2 separate regions of the Mus musculus genome follow, and region 2 is reported to be linked to region 1. Evidence: microRNA targets listed by miRTarBase, many of them from high-throughput screens and not tested one by one. Region 1 holds a microRNA gene; the other region holds the end of a gene's coding sequence.

Region 1 (4,065 bases):
ACCTGGCAGACATGAACCTTCTTACAGCTGTCCTTGCTGTCACGCGGTACTTGAAGAAATGGTTTACCGTCCCACATACATTTTGAGTATGTATGTGGGACGGTAAACCGCTTCTTGGTATCCAGCCCAGCCATCCAGTCCATACCATCCTCGAGCAAGCCTGAAGTGAGAGAAGAAACGTTGTTTTGGCTTGCTCTCTACATCGGGCTGCTTGGCCAAACATCCCTCTGCTTTTTGTGTGCTTTCTCTGTTAATTCATGTGGCAAGGTGTTCCTGTCAGCTTCAGTGCAGCCCTTAAGGGCTTCTTCAAGGATGATGACAACCTCCAGGAAGGTGTCCTACATCCCAACTGGGCATGCTCCCTCCCTCCTTAGGACTTGAAAAAGTGGCAATTAGCTCCACAGATGCTCATCATCAAGGGATGCTGCGTGTTTTCATCATCTGCAAAGCTATCATCAGATGCCTTCAAGACATTATGCCCATAGAAGGACAGCTAGGGCTACATGATACAGTGCAAAGACAGATGCATGAAGACACAGTCCCTGTTTCCACTGATGCTTCGTATATAGTATCTTTTTTTCCATATCAAGTCTAGCCTTCTAGAGGAAGATGACCCAGCCTGGCTCCTCCATGTATGCTTACAGATCAAAGTTGCTTCTTGGCTCACTTCTTCTTACCTCCAGCCCAGCCTTGGAGAACTTGCTGAAGATGCTGCTAGCCTCAGAGACAGGGCTCTGGTTCTTGCATCAGCAATGACCTCACGGTACCTGAAGAGGGATCAAGCAAACTGCATGTGTATTATTAACACCATTTGTAACCTGGCCTACTCTTTTCAATATCAACTTCAGCTTTGAAGGTTTCCAAAGAGGCCCCATTAACCTTGGGGGTGGGGGGGCAAGGCAGAAGGACAAATGCCTTGGGGTAGAGGTTGTCCATGCTTCTTGCTTTACTTACAGCGCATGTTAATTTGGTCCACCTTCCCATAATAGTGAATGCGCCTTGGGGGCTTCCTGTGAACAATATTTCCTTAAAGGCACAGTGCTAGTTACGGGGTCTTCTCTTCGCGTCCTTGCAAACTTCTCTTTGCTATATTCTCTGCATCTGCAGCAGGCAATGCATGGTGGTCTCTTTTCAACATTGCATCTAGGGTTTCCTGGAAGTGATAATCATGAGGAAAGAAGCCAGCTCCTGCACCACCCTCTCTCCATGGTACCTGAAAAGATGGTTGACCATAGAACATGCGCTACTTCTGTGTCGTATGTAGTATGGTCCACATCTTCTCGTTATCAAAGTCATTCGTGAGGGTTTTCCAGAGACCGAGCCAACTTCATGGGAGATATCCTGTCCTGGCTTCAGCACAGTACTTGGGGAGATGGTAGACTGTCGAGTGTGTGCGTTAATTCCAGCATGTACAGCATGGTCCACCACATCTCTGCATCAGCCGGTCACCAGGGGCTTTCTGAAAGCCATACCAATTGAGAGTAGGGCTCAGGCGGCAGACCCTATCCAACACAGATTACCCAGTGCTTGGCTACAGGCCATGTTCATTACCTACGACTCTGGCCATTTGATCCAAAGCCAATATTTGGCACCCAGCCCAGCCTTACAGGGCATCCTGGAAGTCATAGTGGCATTAAACATGAGTTTGTGGCCATTGCCACACATGCCGATTGCTGGTAGTTTGTGACACTCATTGAGAAGGCATTTTGGAGGTAACACCAAATTAAGTAAAGTGAGCTGGAATCAGCCAGCGTTACCTCAAGGTATTTGAAGATGCGGTTGACCATGGTGTGTACGCTTTATTTATGACGTAGGACACATGGTCTACTTCTTCTCAATATCACATCTCGCCTTGGAAGACTTCCAGGAGGTGACATCTGCTTTGAGGAAGAGCCAGTGTCCCGGTCTTCCTACTGCTGCTGCTTGGTACTTGGAGAGAGGTGGTCCGTGGCGCGTTCGCTTCATTTATGGCGCACATTACACGGTCGACCTCTTTGCGGTATCTAATCCCGCCTTGCGAGCTTTCCTGGAGCTAACACCAGCTGTGGGGTGGGGACACTAAATGTGTGTGCTAGCGCAACCCAGCCAGCGGGTTTGTCTTTTCTTGTGTCTGACAATAACTCTTGTGTGGCAGCCTTCTTCTCAGCAAATTTCTCTGGCTTGGCAGCTTCGTGGGCAGGGTGACTTGCAGACCAGGAAAGTGGCATCGACATGTGATACACGTGTGGGTGCGTGAGGTGGTTGACCAGAGAGCACACGCTATATTTGTGCCGTTTGTGACCTGGTCCACTAACCCTCAGTATCTAACCTTCCCTTGGAGAACTTCCTGGAAGAGATCTCAACTTTTGGGGACAGAGGCAATAAGCCAGCTGTACGCTGTTAGACTTGGAGACAGCATCCTCAGTACTTGCAACATATGTGCCTGTTATGGTAGTATTGGATGGGCTTCCAATGCTGTCCTATACTTGGATCCCTTCCTTGATATGGGGCCATCCAAGTTCAAGAAACGTACCATGTTGTCAGACATGACCAGGGTGTGTGTATGCCATTTATATATGGCACAGGTCGCAGGTCACCTTAGCACACTTGCATGCTAAATCTGTGGGAGGAATCATCTTTGGTTTGGGGGCATCTGTGCCTTTCTGTGGTTACCCAAAATGGTGGTAAGTCCTATAGCCAGTCTCTACTGCGCCACTGCTCTCTGGTTGTGACATAACTTCAGGATCATGCCATGGAGGTCTGCTGTACTGGGGCATGTGATGGGATGGCTGTCAGATATATATCAACTAATGGCTTGCTTGAGCACTTTGACTAACATCCAGTGTGCAACCCTGCATTCAACAGGCCTGCCAGGTCTGAAGGTCACGTTGGGGAATTACCGAGGTAGTCTTGTCAGTGTTCGCTTCTGGTACCGGAAGAGAGGTTTTCTGGGTCTCTGTTTCTTTGATGAGAATGAAACACACCCAGCTAACCTTTTTTTCAGTATCAAATCCCATCTTGGAGGCTTCGTGGTCCAGATCCCAGTCTCAGGGAAGGATGGTCCTGTCAGCATCCAGCCAGGGGACAGGAATAACTGGTTCTCCACAAAGCCAGCGAGTGGATTATCGTTCTGAATGGTGTCCTTTGTCCTCTAAACCCTCCCAGGCCTGCCAGGTCTGAAGGTCCAGTTTGGGAAGGTGTCATTGTTATTGTTAACTGAGGATGTGGAAGAGGGGTTTCTGTGTTTGAAACACATTTGGTCAACCTCTCTTCCCATCAGAACAAACTATGGAGGCCTTCTGGTCCATACCTCAGCCTCAGCTGAGGACACACTAATAGTTATGAACAAGTGAGTGACGGACAAAACCCATCCCATACATCAGATTTCTGTTGCCTGTGCTTCTAACCTTCAGTATCTTGTCCATTCTCAGGAGGACTTCTCAACCAATATGGTGTTCCAAAGTTGGGGAAGATGGCAGCCACCGAGGCAACTCTACCCCAGGTCATCACAGGTAGGTTGCACCCACTTTGCTTCTAACAGGTTAGACACAGCCACCCCCACACATGTCCAGCATGCTTTGGAGGCACGGTGATGGGCTTTTAATCAGCCAACCCCTGCTATAGGACTGTCTATTGTAGAGAACACCCACTGTGTCAGATGGTACCTAGATCCATGCTATTCACACACACCCACATCCTTGTAATAAGAGACTTGGAATCAGCAGTGTTCTAGCAGTAGGAAAGCAAACCTGAAATTGGCACACACATTTGCCCAGTGAGCTTTAAGATATGAAATCTGGAGCGGGGCAGTGGTGGCGCACGCCTTTAATCCCAGCACTTGGGAGGCAGAGGCAGGTGGATTTCTGAGTTCGAGGCCAGCTTGGTCTACAGAATGAGTTCCAGGACAGCCAGGGCTATACAGAGAAACCCTGTCTCGAAAAAAACCAAACCAACCAACCAACCAAACAAACAAACAAATAAACAAAAGATGTGAAATCTGTTCTTAGTCCTTAACTCCACCCAGGGTTGTGGTCAGCAGTAGAGCTTTCTGTGGGGTTCCAGGTAGAACACAATTCTCATCTGCAA
Region 2 (4,065 bases), not on the chromosome of region 1:
CACCCCCTTGGCCACTGAGAGGCCTTTGAGTCAAAGAAAAAAGAGCCCAAGTCACTAAGTTTCTTTTCTTAATTCCCTTGCTGCTATCAGTAGGAGTCAATTGCCAGAAGCTGATCAGCTTTTGGTCCTTGAATAACAGGAGAGAGTTAAATTGCTAAAAGTCACCTGCTTTTGGCCCCCATTGATGCCACCCACCCTGCCTTCCTCAGTATCTGACTGTTGGGGTGGGATCCTGACATTTTAGACTCTTAATCAGTGAGTAAACCTACATCTGTGGACATCTGTTTTAATGGAAGTGTTGATGCATCAAAACATCTGTGTATAGAGGATTTATCCTCTTCCAACGAGTTCTCCAGCTGGTGTAAAGGAGCAGTCCAAATGTGCAACTTAACTTAGTTTTCTTGTGCTGTTGAGTAGCAGAACATGAAAGATGTTGTCTCTGTGTGTCTGTCTGTCTGTCTCTCTGTCTTTCTCTCTCTCCCTCCTTCCCTTCCTTTATCTCTCCCTCTGCTTCCCACCTTCTCTTGTTTTGAGACAGGTTCTCACTATGGAGCTCAGTCTGACCTTGAGTGGGTGGCTCTCCTGTCTCAGCCTTCTTAATGTTGGCATTATAAATGTGCATCACCACGTTGGCCCTGAGACTTTTTTTTAAATGATCCAGCAGGAATGGTTTCACATTTAGCTTTTATTTCATGACATGTCATTCCAACTGTTCACTGTGTCTCTCCAAACTGTAGACTTCCTTCTGCAATGATAACCATTCTATTACCACCCACTGCTTTCAGTGCTAACATGTTACTAGCGTGTCTCCCTTCATGGTAAACTGTACCACTCAAATTGGAGGGGAGTTTCAATAATCACAGATACTTTGTGGCAGAAGCTATTTGTGCTACATTTATTTCCTAATTGTTAACTAGGTGTGGATAATTTAGCCTTTAAAAAGTCACATTAGCATCTCTTCCTTAGATAGGCATTTCCCCCCTGTGTTGATAATTGCACATTGGAGTTCTTAAAATGAAGACTGTGAAATGGAGATTTTAATTCACCTTCATTATTGGATTACTGGGGTGTGTGACTCAGTGCCTACAGGATCTACCATCATGAGCAAGTTCCAGTTTGACACTCACATTTCAAGAAAAAAATTTTACCAGGACATTAGTGAATTGTCAACACCTGGGCTTGGGGTTCCAATTAATACATACATTCTGAATTTGATGCTCAACTTGAGTGACACTAGAACACACAGCAAGTTAGAGAAGTGGTTTTTATCAGAGAGAAAGACTGGGCTGCAGAGCAAGGACAAAAGGTATCAGCCAACTCCCCAGACGCCTCTGGAGCTGAAAGGCCTCAGATAAACCCTTGAGGCCAAGACCTGATGCAACCAACTTGGTCTGAGGCAATTCTTAAAGCCAGGTGCCAGCCATGAGCCTCAGGTGACAACTTTCTAAACATCTAGGAGGATAAATACTGTTTGAGATGTTTTCAACTTGACTACATTTGGAATAAACTACAATCCAGAAATGGAGGGCACACCAGTGACCTAGATCTTGAGGCTTGAAGACAAGCTTTTGAACCAGATCTTGAGGCTGGAAGATACACGTCTTTAATCCAGATCTAGAGGCAATCTGATCCATACATTCTGCTGGAGGCCTACATGAGGACAATGGAAGAAAAAAGGGTTTTTTCTTTGCCTGCTTGTACTTACTTTGCCAGTACATCTATTGGAGCCTACTTCTTCAGGATTCTAGCTTATTTAGAAGACCAGCTGAAACACCCAGCCTCACAGGACTGAGCAACTACTAGATTCTTGGACTTTCCAGTCACAGCTGGCCATTGTTGGATTAGTTGGACTGCAAACTATACATCATTCCAACAAACTCCCTTTAATGTGTGTGTGTAATTGAAAGGAAATAAAACTGTAATTCATGTAATGTATGTCAAATAGCCCAAAGAGTTGTTTGTGAGCTTTGAAACCTGGGGCTGAGAACATAGCAGAACAGACCAGGACATGCCCTGGCAGGCCCATTGCCTCCCTATCTCCCACCCCTCTGACCTAAGTTAAATGTTACAGGCTGCTGATGTTTAAATGGACCAATCATGTGAAACCGCGCCAATTCCTCCCCCAGCCCCACTCCTTTTCTATAAAAACCCCTAGCTTCCAAGCCTCGTGGTCGAATCCACTGTCTCCTGTTGTGTGAGATACGTTTCGACCCGGAGCTCCGCCATTAAAATACCTCTTGTTGTTACATCAAGGTGTTGTGTTCTATTCGTGATTCTTGGGTGCACGCCGAATCGGGAGCTGAGTGGGGGTTTCCCCACTGAGTTCTTTCATAATCATGTATTACACATTATATATTCATTCCTTAAGTTCTGTGACTATAGAGCCTTGACTGATACACTGTCTCTGAAAAAGTTCATAATGTGGATGTCACTTATAGTGTGGACAGGAGGAGAGATTCAAACATAAACATCAATTAGGAATGAACCACAAAGGTCTTGAATGCTTCAGAAAACATTTTATTGGAAATAATATGTCTAGTTCTGAAGTTGAAGAATCCCAGGTTGGGGTGTGTATGTGGGGGGTCCTATTCTTCAGATGATGAAAGGCATCCCCACTCATAAGCACTAGCTGACCCCGTGAAGATCACACAGAAAGGAGCACTTATGCAGAATCAGGGACAAGTCCCCGATCCTGGCATCAGGGAGATGCCCTCCTCCTGTGCGAGTCAATCTGCTCAGACTCTCCCTCAGATTGGCCGCAGGAGAAGGGCAGAGAGGATGGAGACAGAGATGAAGACCGAATTAAAAGACCTCAGGAACTGACAAGGCATTTGTCTCAGGAGACACACAGTTTCAGAGGAGCAAACTAGATTGTCTGACCAGCCTCCATTGCTCTTTCTCCACCTTCAGGCTGGGAAGAGAAAGACTCAGAATGGCCAAGGGGACTCTTCCTTCAGATACAGCCTCCAACCAAGCTATCCCCATATCCTTTGGTGAATTAGAGTAGTTCAATCGGGTTGTGTTGGTGGTGGTGGATTTTTTTTTTTTTTTTTTTGGACACATGATATCTTGTAGCTTAGGCTGGCCTGCCATTCATGTTCCTCCTGTCGCTGCCTGTCTGAAATGTCTGTAATGTCTGCTGAGTGCTGACATTATAGGTGAGTACTAACATACTCAGCCAAACCTCTGAGGTCTCTGGATTTAGCTTTTTCTTTTTTCTTTTATTTTCTCTCTTCAACTCATAAATCTAACAAGGAAAAACATCTACAGCTTCCCAGACACAAATCTACTTGTGCAGGGGAAGAACTTAGGCAATTTAGGGGTGACTTGGGGAGGTAGAGTCCATTTCAGTGAAGAGTGTGCTGAGAAGATGGAGTCTTTTTTTCAGAGCAGTCTTTAAGGGGGAAGGAGGAAGAGGTCAGAAGCTTGGCCTTCCTATATGGTTTTGAAATGGCTCAGGTACGCCATGATGTCAGACTTGACAGTGCTGACAGGAGCCTGGTGGAACCAGCGCATGACAGGGATGCCATCGGGTCCCACCAGGAACTTCTCAAAGTTCCAGCGGATGTCATGGACTTTTATTGGCTCCCAGAAGGTATGTTTGCTCATGACCACAGTCTCTGAGGGGTGAGGACAAGAACGCTGCGGCAGAGAAGCAGAGAAGAGAAAACACATTATTTCTGTTCCTTAGATGACCCAGGGTGTCCTCATTCACAGGCAATTCCCTCCCTGTGACACCCATACATCCCATCCTCCTGTGGTTCCTGCTAAACCCCACAAACCCTGCTCCTCATCGTGATGCCAGATGCCAAGAATTTTCTGATCTCACAGCCTAAGCACATTCCTTCTTTCTGTCCTTCACCCCAGGGCTCCATCCCATTCACATTACATAGCTTAAGATGTATTTATTGCCTTTCAAGCTTTCATTTCTTGTCCTTGTCATTGTTTGTTTGTGAGATAGGATCTCACATAGCCCATGCTGGCCTCAAAGTCAATGTGTCTCTGAAGACGACCTTGAACTCCTGATACTCATGACTCTACCTCCCAGTGCTGGGGCCACAGATG

What was found. Region 1 holds the annotated microRNA mmu-miR-323-5p (AGGUGGUCCGUGGCGCGUUCGC, at 1,939-1,960, shown strand). A microRNA usually pairs through its seed, bases 2 to 8, with sites in the 3' UTR of a target mRNA and lowers its output. Matches are read on the target gene's strand: a 7mer-m8 pairs with bases 2 to 8, a 7mer-A1 pairs with bases 2 to 7 and ends in A, and an 8mer does both.
Region 2: the mRNA of Gpx5 is a reported target of mmu-miR-323-5p. Seed matches in the 3' UTR shown: 7mer-A1 at 3,027-3,033 and 7mer-A1 at 3,024-3,030.

The regions. Positions count from the first base shown.
Region 1 is chr12:109,710,585-109,714,649 of GRCm38, forward strand. It overlaps Mir323 (microRNA 323), which reads left to right and starts at 1,924; the gene lies at 1,924-2,009. It overlaps Mir299a (microRNA 299a), which reads left to right and starts at 54; the gene lies at 54-116. It overlaps Mir299b (microRNA 299b), which reads right to left and starts at 109; the gene lies at 61-109. Mir380 (microRNA 380) reads left to right here and starts at 1,219; the gene lies at 1,219-1,279. It also overlaps Mir1197, Mir758 and Mir329.
Region 2 is chr13:21,283,931-21,287,995 of GRCm38, forward strand. It overlaps Gpx5 (glutathione peroxidase 5), which reads right to left. Exons shown (of 5, transcript NM_010343.2): 5 at 2,499-3,642. The coding sequence ends at 3,436. Among named protein-coding and RNA genes, the nearest start is that of n-TRtcg2, 6.3 kb to the left of the region's middle.